Linked DNA regions of Cricetulus griseus. The protein of the gene in region 1 interacts with the protein of each later gene in a pairwise test. Links are inferred from orthologs where the notes say so. Each region holds a gene or a part of one and is shown on either strand. Other genes may lie near its edges. The genes, in order: Pex5, Ech1 and acyl-coenzyme A thioesterase 8.

What was found.
Region 2: the proteins of Pex5 (region 1) and Ech1 interact in a two-hybrid assay, tested with the Homo sapiens proteins (2 studies listed by BioGRID and IntAct, with this or other methods). The link is inferred for Cricetulus griseus from reciprocal best matches to the Homo sapiens genes PEX5 and ECH1.
Region 3: the proteins of Pex5 (region 1) and acyl-coenzyme A thioesterase 8 interact in binary tests that used the Homo sapiens proteins (3 or more experiments, as listed by UniProt). The link is inferred for Cricetulus griseus from reciprocal best matches to the Homo sapiens genes PEX5 and ACOT8.

What each region holds. Positions count from the first base shown.
Region 1 is NC_048601.1:21,910,890-21,914,538, forward strand, and holds part of Pex5 (peroxisomal targeting signal 1 receptor), read left to right. Parts: intron 1-28; coding exon 29-121; intron 122-488; coding exon 489-608; intron 609-3,649.
Region 2 is NC_048602.1:7,032,489-7,035,466, forward strand, and holds the end of Ech1 (delta(3,5)-Delta(2,4)-dienoyl-CoA isomerase, mitochondrial), read right to left. Parts: intron 2,956-2,978; coding exon 2,834-2,955; intron 2,753-2,833; coding exon 2,704-2,752; intron 2,509-2,703; coding exon 2,444-2,508; intron 1,461-2,443; coding exon 1,390-1,460; intron 1,309-1,389; coding exon 1,237-1,308; intron 996-1,236; coding exon 845-995; intron 745-844; coding exon 640-744; 3' UTR 503-639; downstream 1-502. UniProt on the Homo sapiens protein: Isomerization of 3-trans,5-cis-dienoyl-CoA to 2-trans,4-trans-dienoyl-CoA.
Region 3 is NC_048599.1:14,631,664-14,635,598, reverse strand, and holds the end of acyl-coenzyme A thioesterase 8, read right to left. Parts: intron 3,449-3,935; coding exon 3,291-3,448; intron 2,765-3,290; coding exon 2,570-2,764; intron 2,297-2,569; coding exon of another isoform or gene 2,247-2,296; exon of another isoform or gene 890-2,246; coding exon 771-889; 3' UTR 644-770; downstream 1-643. Other genes in the region: Snx21 (sorting nexin-21), read left to right, coding at 1-226. UniProt on the Homo sapiens protein: Catalyzes the hydrolysis of acyl-CoAs into free fatty acids and coenzyme A (CoASH), regulating their respective intracellular levels. Displays no strong substrate specificity with respect to the carboxylic acid moiety of Acyl-CoAs.

The DNA.
Region 1 (3,649 bases):
GGGTGGTACTGATCATCTTTTGTCACAGGGCACATCAGAGGCCTGGGTCGATCAGTTCACAAGGTCAGGAAACACGTCTGCCCTGGATGTAGAATTTGAACGAGCCAAGTCAGCTATAGAGGTGAGAGCCGCTGGTGTGAACACAAGTACCCCAGGGCCATGCCCTCCCATGGGGAGTATGGCTTTGTTAGTGCCAGAGGTGATGGGCATTGTCTCAGAATGTACTGGGTCATCCGTGTTGGAATTGTGTAGGTGCAGGATAAGTGCTTTTTAAAAAATGCAAATTCTTGGACATTGCTCCAGATTCCTGCATCAGAATCTGGGGGTAGGGTTGAGGAATTTGCATTTTACAAAAGCTTCTCTGATGGTTGCTGAACACATTAAAGTTTAAGGCCTGTTGCCCTAGGAACACACCCCAGTAGAGTGGGGGTGAGGGTGGGGTGGGCACGAAGCACCGCCTTTCTCTATCTGCCCTCCCTTCCTTACAGTCTGATGTCGATTTCTGGGACAAGTTGCAGGCAGAGTTGGAGGAGATGGCAAAACGGGATGCTGAGGCGCACCCCTGGCTTTCTGACTATGATGACCTCACATCTGCTTCCTATGACAAGGTAGGAAGGAGCCCCTGGCTTTCCAGGTTCTGGAACGGGAAGTTTCCATGCTGAAGCTGTTGCTACTTTTGAGCGGCTTCTGTGAAGTGTGATGATACCTTGGCACCTGCTGTCCAGGAATTGAATGGTCCTGTGTTCTTGGGGTTCAGTGGTTAGTAAGAATGCCTCTGCACATCACACCGTGACTTAGCGCCCACTAGGGGGCTTACACACGACGCACTAAGAACAGATGGGTAGGTAGGTCCTCTTTGCAGGTTCACTGGGATGATTTATTGGCTGCTGGCCCCTCTGCTGGGCAGTGGGAGTTGATGGATCATTCTCTGTCCACACTGTGGCATGTACTTCTCTTTTAGCTCATGAGTTGGAACACCTGCTCCCCCACTCCCAATGCTGGGTACCAAGCCAGGGGTTGTGTGTGCTAGAAAGGACTAACTATCCCATTGAGCTATACCCACAGCTCTCATTTAAGTTCTGATCTCTTCTTGTAGCAACAAGCTCTTGTCCCGATCCAGGATTTCAAAGAATTACATTAAATAATTTAAACAATAAGAACATTTCCCAGTAGTCTGTGGAGAAGATGTTTGGATTTTGCATGTAACGTGAGCTTTTGGCTTCGATGTTTGTGAGTAAATCTGCTTGTGAGTTGCAGGATCATTGAAGCATGAGAGGGAAGACAGTAGGAGTGGAGCCATGATGACAGGAGGTTTCTGTCCTGCCTGGTCTCAGGCTTATATTAATTATAAACTTTTTGTTGATGGCTCAGGCTTCTTATTTGGCTAGCTCTCTCTTAATTATTAACCCATTTCTATTAATCTGTGTATCTCCACTTTGTCTTGGCTTACTGGTGATACCTGGCCCTCTGGCTCCCTTGGCAGCTGCATGGTGTCTCCCTATCGGCTCCTCTCTGCCTTCCTCTTCCCAGCATTCTTGTAGTCTGGTAGCCCCTGCCTATACTTCCTGCTCATCAACCAATAAGAGAAACATATATTCATAGTGTCCAGAAGGACATCCCCCATCAGAGTAACACCTCTTTCTCAGCTCAACTGTGGAGGAGGAAGGACCAGACCCTGAGATTCAGAGCTGGGTGGTGGAGGTGGATGTTGACATAGGGAGCTGTGCCCAGATGGGAGAGGGAAGCTCAGGGACTGTGAGAAGGTCGGGGCTTGAGAGCCTCAGAACAACCTGCTACAAGGGAAAATGGGACCGTGGTGTTTCCATCTGCTCTGGGCTTGTTCAAAAATGGTCTTGTGTGGTACATTGAGGGGCTGCTTCCTTCTAGGGATTTCACCTTGTATTTTGCCACAGTATAAATTCCTCTCATAGAATAGCACTCTTATTGTCCTACATTAACAATTTGATATGTTGTTAACTTATAACTAGCATTTCCGTACATTTGATAAATGGAGATGTAAGTGCTGCTTTCATATGGGTAATATTTTCTCTTAATGTTTATTACTCTGGAATTTATGACATATACACAGAATAACTTTTTAAGTTTGAAGCTTAATTTAGCACTCATTATTTAAGTGCTAAATTTAAGACATGCTGGACCAAATACACAAAAAACTTAAAAATATAACAAGGGACCCAGGCAAGATGGTACACATCTGTAATCCTAGCACTTGTGAGGCTAAGTCAGGAGGGTTGTAAATTAGTGAGATTGTTTCAAAACAAACAAAACCTGTAAGTTATTAGATCCACGAATCCTGTTTGATGTCAGTGATAACTTGAAATATTGCAAAATGAGGCTTAGAACCCTCTGCACTAATGCTTCACAACAATGCTCCATTTTATTATTCACTAATAGTGAAGAGTTAAGTTCTGTCTGTCCTTAAGCTAAGTTGTACTGAATTATATGGAATACTTTAAAAGTGGGGGTGTGAGTTCGTTGTCAGATAAACTCATGGGTCTTTCTGTGCTTTTTAGGTGTTACTTACATTTTTGCATGTGTCTGTGGTGTGCACGTGTGTGCTGAGGTCAGGTATTAACATAAGGTGTCTTCCCTTCATTGCTTTCCACTTTCCCACTTGGGACAGGGTTCCTGTGTCCCCCAATCCTGCCCCCCCCCCAAGAGGTCATTGACACAGCTGCAGTCAGGCCAGCTTGCCCTGTGGATCCACTCTCCAACTGGACTTCATGCTTGCCTGGTTTTTAATCTTGGGAGTTAGGGATCTGAACTCTGGTCCTCCTGTTTGCCTGCAGGTGCTTTATCCATTCAGCTGTCTCCTTATCCCTCTTTATACTTTTTTAAAATTAAATATTTTTTATTGATCACCCTTAGATTTTTCATACACCTGTGGCCTAAAGAGACACTGAAACACTGTTCACTGTTAGAAAAAGTTTCTGTGATGTAGAGACGCTTTGAAGCTGTGCTTTATCCACAGTGTGATTGTGTGAGATTTTGCAACAGCCCAAGGAGTGGATCAGACAAGACGACTGGCTGGGTTAGAGCTTTCAGGATGTGTAGTAACACTCAGCTCTCAGCTCTCTGCACTCTAGTCTGTGAAGGGCTCCTTCAGAGGGTTCTTTCCTCACCTCTGCAAATGTTTTCTTTTTGCAGAGGGGGATAGTAGTTAATTCCTCATTGAACAGTAAGTGATGAGACGTTAAAAACAATAGGTAACGGACTCTAGAGGAAACTCGTGTTTGGGAGTTGAGTGCATTCATTTGTCACATTGTTTTCTGGAGACACAAGAGCATTCATCACCGCTGACTGCTCACACAGGCCTTGTACAAGCTTCAGGAAGTACAGCCACTGTTAGTAAGACTCTCAGTAGCTTTGAGGCATAAATACATTCATTAGGAAATTATATGTGACAACAATCTGCTTTCCACAGAGTGGCCTGAAGGATGGATTGATGATGGACAGCAGTTAAGGTTGAGTGTGAACATACTTATTCTATTGAATTCAGATGATCATGTGTGGCCTGTGGATAGGTGGATTTGCCACTCATTTGCAAATGGTTCAGTGGCTAAGAATGGTTTTAGCATTTTTGAATGGCTGAAAGAAATCAAAAGAGTAATGCAATTTGTAATACCTA
Region 2 (2,978 bases), on another chromosome or scaffold:
TTTCGAAAGACTTATGTATTCATGTGTATGGGTGCTCTGTCTGCATGCACACCGGAAGAAGGAATCTGATTCCATTTTAGATGGTTGTGAGCCACCATGTGGTTGCTGGGAATCGAACTCAGGACCTCTGGAAGAGCAGTCAAGAGCTCTTAACCGCTGAGCCATCTCTCCAGCCCCCAAATCAACATTTTCTTAAGGGGACTGGAGAGATGGCTCAGGGGCTAAGCACACTTGCTGCTCCAGCAGAGAAAGAAAAAGGAGAAAGAGAGGCATAGGGCTGGTAGCAATGACCTCACCCAGTGCCAGGTACCCAGGCCTACAGTGCTGTGCCACACCTTGCTGGGGACAGACACAGGGGACAGGTGTGGCCTTTCAGCCTTCTGCGGCCTCTGTTCCTTGCACACTTCCTCTTGGCCCAGTCAGATTTGCCTCCCGGCCTTCCCAATTGCCCTCCGTGGAGCCAGGCATCTGAGCCGCCACCCACTGCAGTAAAGACACCAGGCTGTGTTCAAACTTTATTGTTCACAGTGAAGATAAGGCCCCTGAAGAACTAAGTCGTAAGCTTGTACAATGGGCGACCACATGGAAGAAGGCACTGACCCTCCACGGAGCCTTCCTCTCTCAGGATCAGGAAGGCACTCAGAGCTTGGAGAAGGTGGCACTTTTGGTGTCCTTCTTCTCCATGGCTGCCTGGACGGACTTGATTATGTCCTGGGTCTGCAGCATGCTCATGTTCCAGGTGGCCTGGATCAGGGGCGTCGGAAAGACCGGCAGGGCACCAATCAGAGGTGTGCACACATGCTGACCCCCAGGTAGGGCCATGATTGGTGTAGTTGAGCCTTACCATGTAGTCAAGGCTCTCGTCCACGGAATGGTCTCGGGAGTAGATTAGGTTGATTTTTGACCCCTGCACAGCCACAGGGCTCTTGCTGGAAATCTCAGCCGCCAGGGCAAAGGCTGCATTCAACATGTTGTCCTTATCTGGGAACACACGGCTGCCGGGGAAGGAAGAGGTGAGGGGGACACTTTCCCTCTCCCCTGTGGATGATGGCCAGGTGGCCTCACAGAGAAAACGGAAACCCCAACCAAAGAGCTCAGCCACAGGGTCATGCTCAGAGAAAGAAATAGCTGTACCGAGAAAGGCCATTTGGAGTGAGGATACGGGAGACCATGGAGCCCCACCCTGGCCTGGATGGCCCTGTGCCCCTCCCTGCCATCTGCCAGGCAGGGTCCTACCTGACCAGCCCACTGTCCAGGGCCTCGTCAGCCATCATCCTTCGGGCCGTGAAGGTCAGCTCGTTGACCAGGCTACATAAGGGGAGGGCGATCAGGAGCCACCCTTCACCTGGGTCTGACCCCTCCTCTCCGGGTCATCATCACCCCTCTCACCTCTGGTTCCCGATGACCTTGGGCAGTCGCTGCAGTGTCCCCACGTCGGCAGCCAGGCCCAAATCCACCTCCTAGAGGGAGGGGAACACTGATGAGTGATTGTTCTGTGTCTGCCATTGTTTACCACGCAAGCTCAGTGGTTTCACCACCCTCCAGCTCAGACACCCTCAAGAGGCGATGCTACCTCCTGGCCCCCCAGCTTGCTCACAAGGCCCTTTCCAGAGCCCTGGGCTCCACTCCACCCCTCGGCCTGTAAGGATGGCAGCAGTTCCAGCTGTGTCTATGCAGAAACCACAGCTGGGCCTGCATCCCCTTCCTTCCGGTGCTGGGCAGTGCTAACTCAGAGCGTTTTCCCCCCACTCATGCCCTCTACTGTGAGCTACGTACACCCACAGCACCGGCCTACCTCTCTGACAGGGTCTCACTGTGAGGCTCAGGTTGGTCTGTGGGGTGGCAAATGTTTACTGTCAATCTGGCAGAATCTAGGGATGAGCCTCTGAGGTACTACCTTGTTTGTTGTTTTGTTTTGTTTTGTTTTTTCAAGACAGGGTTTCTCTGTGTAGCCCTGGCCGTCCTGGAACTTGCTCTATAGACCAGGCTGGCCTCGAACTCCTGCCTCCGCCCCCGAGTGCTGGGATTAAAGGTTTGCACCACCACACGCGCCTGTCATGAGGTACTGTCTTGATTGCATTAACTGATTCAGTTAATTGTGGGCAGGACCCTGGCATGTGGGGGGCTGGACCCCAGCACACACTGCTCTCTTCTGACTACACTGATGAGGCAATGGCTCCTTCAAGCTCTCTCTGTCTTCACTTCCCTGACACAATTGACCATACCTTGAACTGTGGAACCATGACAGCCCTGTGTCTCTCCACGCCCCATCTTTGCCAGAACCTTACACCTTCATCCAGGAAACCCTGACGACCAGCTGCCTCGGCCTGCCCTGTCTCTGCCTTGCTCCCCACCACCACTGCCACCCCCCCCCCGCCACCCCATTCTGTGGCTGCCTAGCATTGCAAGGGTCCCAGAAGGCAAGACCTCAGAAGTGCCTCACCTTGACCTGGAAGAAAGCATCCTGGGCACAGTAGCGAATGTCACAGGCAGTGATGAGGTCCACACCTGGAAGGAAAAGGCCAGGAACAATGAATAATGACAGGAACCAATACTTCTTCCCAAAACATAGGGTCACAGCTGGGGACCAACTGTAATTAGCAACAGCTGAGCTGAGGCCAACTTGCGGGAGGGGGGCAGGGCAGAGGGTAGCAGCCTTACCAATGCAGGCACCCTAGTGGTGGCCAGTGGTTCCAGACTCACCTGCACCAATGCAACCTCCATGGATGGCAGCAATCACCGGCTTGGGGCACTGAAATGGAAAAGGAGGGTTGGGATCAAAGCTGGCAGAGGAAGGGTAGGCAGAAGGGATGCCACCCAGCCCCTAAGTCACCTTCTCAATGACAGTGAAGGTCTTCTGGAATTTGCTGATGAGGTCACGGAGATACCAGGCCGTGCGGGCTGCATCATCCCCTGGGGCCTGCAGGAGGTGCGCCATGTCCATGATGTCGATACCTGAGGCGAAGGCACAAGGAGGT
Region 3 (3,935 bases), on another chromosome or scaffold:
TGGAGAAGCTCGAGCCTGTAGTGAGAAGGCACTGCAGCTGCTGGGGGACAAGAGACCCCATCCTTTCCTGGCACCCTTTCTAGAGGCCCATGTGCGGCTCTCCTGGCGCCTGGGCCTAGATAAACGGCAGACTGAGGCCCAGCTTCAGTCCCTACAGGAGGCAGGCCTCACCCCCATCCCGCCCCCCAGCCTCAAGGAGCTGCTTATCAAAGAGGTGCTGGACTAACTTTCACCAGTCTCAAGGCCACTTCTGAGAGAGGGGCTGCCCCAGGTCAGGGGGCTGGAGGCCATAAAGGGACACAGTGAGCAACCAGGGGCTGGAAAGGGTTCTGGGAACCCCTAAAGTAGTTCCAGAAAGAGTCTGTAGCAGACTGAGAGGAACTTCGTTTTGTGGGGCTGGGCTCCAAACAGGCTTTGCCTGGGGTTACCCTAGGATGATACAAGGAGGAAGTTTTGGCAACGGCTCTTCAGCCCACCATAGCCAGAGACTGTGGCCAAGGTCAGGATCAATGTTTCCTTTTCCATGGGCCTGGGCACCAGTAAAACAGCTTGGCTGAAGTGCTGGGGACTACTACTGGAATCCTGGAGTTTAGAGCCAGGAGGAGGGCTGTAGTTCTGCCCAGGGAAATGAAAGGTCAGCTACTCCAGTGTTAGCAGTTTCTTTATTAGATATGAGGGGCAGGCAGCCCAGCTGTCTGCTGTGACCCCTGCCTCAGGAATGGCAGTAGAAACAGTTCTTTAAAATCCCAGGCCAAGCCAGTTATCTTTGACTACAGCTTACTCGCTGATACCCGAGGCTTCAATCGGATCACACCCTCCTGGGCACAGGTCACAGCAAGGACCCCATCCTGACGCCACAGCCGCCCATGCACTAGCCCTCGAGAGCCACCTGTGGGCAAGGAGAAGGGTGAGAATGGCCTCTACTTCAGCACAAGCCTGCTTTGCCTTCGGAAGGGATTGACAAGGCAGAGCTGCCCCACACAAGGGTTCATTGGGACATAACTACTCCAAATACCCCTTTGTGAGCCTGTTACAGTCGCTGGGGGAGGGGCCTCCCCCTCCACTTGATGGTCTGAAAGCACTTTCACATATCCCATCACAGAGAAAGGCACTCTGACAGGCTCGGCCAAGCAGATTGCTGCTTCTCAGGCCACTGTCAGAAATCCATCCTTTCCTTTTATGATAAGCCAAGCAAGTCCTCTAGGGACCAGAAGGTGGCTCAGAGAGGACCTGAGACCATGAGGGGTGACCTCCTTCCCTTTCCACCAAGAGGTTCTCAACCTTGGTGGCTTCAGCCTGAGTTAGTCATCCTTAGGAGCTAACTTAGGCTTTCTTTACACATAGCAGAGCCCACTCTGATCTAACTAGCCAGAGTATGGGCTTCATTTCTTACACTGTTTTACAGACGATGACACTAAAGTTCAAAGAGGCTCAGGCTTGGCCCCAAGGATCAGGCCAAAGCCGACTGAGTTGTCCTACTTCAAGGTTGGGAGTCTTGTCCTGTGAGGCTGGTGGTATCTGAGTAACCCTTTCCTGTCTGTAAGGGGTTACTTAAGTTTTGTTTGTTTTATAAAGCAAAGCTTTTCTTCCTCTGAAGTGTACTTCATTATAAAAGAGCCAGGGCTCTAACACTAGACATCAGAGAGTCTGTGTCTCTCTTGGCTCCCTACAGGGGCATCTCTAGAGACCACTGAGTGCACTGTCCCATCCTGCCAACCCAAGGAGATCCTTAAAACACAGTTTACAGCCAGGGCATGGTGGCACACACTTTTAATCCCAGCACTCAGGAAGCAGAGGCAGGCTCATCTCTGGGTTCCAGGCCAGCCTGGTCTACAGAGCAAGCTCCAGGACAGCCAGGGCTTCATAGAGAAACCCTGTCTTGAAAAACCAAAACCAAGCAAACAAAAAGGGCAGTTTCCTGGACCTGATCTAGGACCTGCTGGGGCAGAATGCAATCTGTTTAGAAAAAGCTCCCTCAAGTAACAGCCTGATGGCTTTTTAGATAGTGCCATCTAACATAACCTGTTTATTCAGATGAAAAAAAAAAACAAACTGAGAAGCAGGGCATGGTGGCTCCTGCGTTTGGGAGGTGGAGGCAGGAGGGTCAGGAGTTCCAGGGAGGACTCCACTACATATGACGTTCAAGACAAGCAAGGGTTACATGAAACCCTGGTTGATTAAAAAAAAAAAAAAAAAGCTGGGCTACAGTAGCACACAGATATTCACAGAGCAGAAACATGTGGATCCTAGTAAGTTCTAGGCAAGTCATAGCTCCATAATGAGATCTTACCCTTCCCTGAAAGAAAAAAAAAAAGTCATCAGAAAAAAAGGATTTCCCCAAGTTCATCCATGGCATCTAAAGTGGTTCGGGCATCTGCCCTGGGTCTCTGAGATAAACTCGATCATTCCTGACGTGTTTGAATACCTTTGAAGACAACACGAATACCCAGAGGGGCAGCAGTGCAAGGGCCCTGTGCAGCATCCCCAGAAAGGAGAAAGAGGCAGTAGCATCTATAAATAAAGCAGGTTCGGGTTCCTACCATTCCCAAAGACACAGGCCCACACTTACCAGCCCAGGGGCTCTCACACTCATAGAGCATCCAGTGGTCGGCTCGGAATGGGGCATGGAACCACATGGAGTGGTCCAGCGAGACCATGAAGTTCACTTTATACTTGGACTGGTGGGGCAGCAATGCTGTACCCAGGAAGGCGTAGTCAGAGATATAGGCAGCCACACAGCAATGCATCTTGATGTCGCCCTCCCCTGCAACAGGTCCCGACCCCATCAGCCCTGGGCTCCTGGCTTTCCAGCTCAGGATCTGCAGGGAAGTGGGGAGAAAAGGGCTGCCACACACCAATTAGTCATTGTGCAAGGGCATCTGTTCCAGGGTTGGGGGTGGTGTGTAAGGATGAAGGAGGTGGGGACTAAGGACAGGAGTAAGACAAATGCAAATCATTCTTCCCAAATCTCTCACACCCAGTCACTCTCTGTGTCCCAAAACAGGCATTTTCCAATCTGTACAAAGATGTCGATGGTGCCTCTGGCCTAGATAAGAACCTCAGCAAGGTACCTTGCTTCCCCCAGAAAGGTCCAACAATGGGATTACAGTCATCTCATTATTTTCATGTTAAAGGGTAAGGGCTCTGGTGAGAAAGTGAGCCAAATTCTGCATAATTCAGATTAGGAAAGGGGCCCAAAGAGAGGGTGGGATACCCAAGCAACAGAGGGCAAATGAGTGGCAAGGCCTAGAGCCCTGGAGTATTTTTCTCCAATTCATCAGTCCTCTTACCAATATAGCCCCGGGCTCGCACCCAGAACATCTGTTTGGGTTCCAGTGTCTGCAGCTGGCTCGGGGTGGGTGGGTTCACCAGCTTGATCTCAATAGGTACCTCCTGGGCAGCAATTCGGTTCAGCCCCACTCGGTATTTCTCCTGGAGGTTAGGGTCCCTGAAAGTAAACACAGGGCCAAAGAGTCCCAAGGAGAGGAAGCTTCTCTGTGCTTCCTCTTCTGGTCCCCACAATTTCTCCATAGGGGCTTCTGTCCTGCAAAGCTTCCTCATGGAGCTGGCAAAGCAGTAGTGTTCGAATCCCTTCCTTGTCACTTCAGCCACGAAGCCTTGTGCAAGTTAGTCATCTCTCTGAGCCTATTTTCCCATTTGAAACATGAGAGTAATAAGGTGACCTGCCTTGAAGCAAACACACAGTTAAGACCTAGGCACTAGCCGGGTGTTGGTGGTGCACACCTTTAGTCCCAGCACTTGGGAGGCAGAGGCAGGCGGATCTCTGAGTTCGAGACCAGCCTGGTCTACAAGAGCTAGTTCCAGGACAGCCTCCAAAGCCACAGAGAAATCTGTCTTGAAAACCAAAAACAAACAAAAAAGACCTAGGTACCAACCCAAGCATTGCACATGACCATAACCCATTCTTTGCCAGG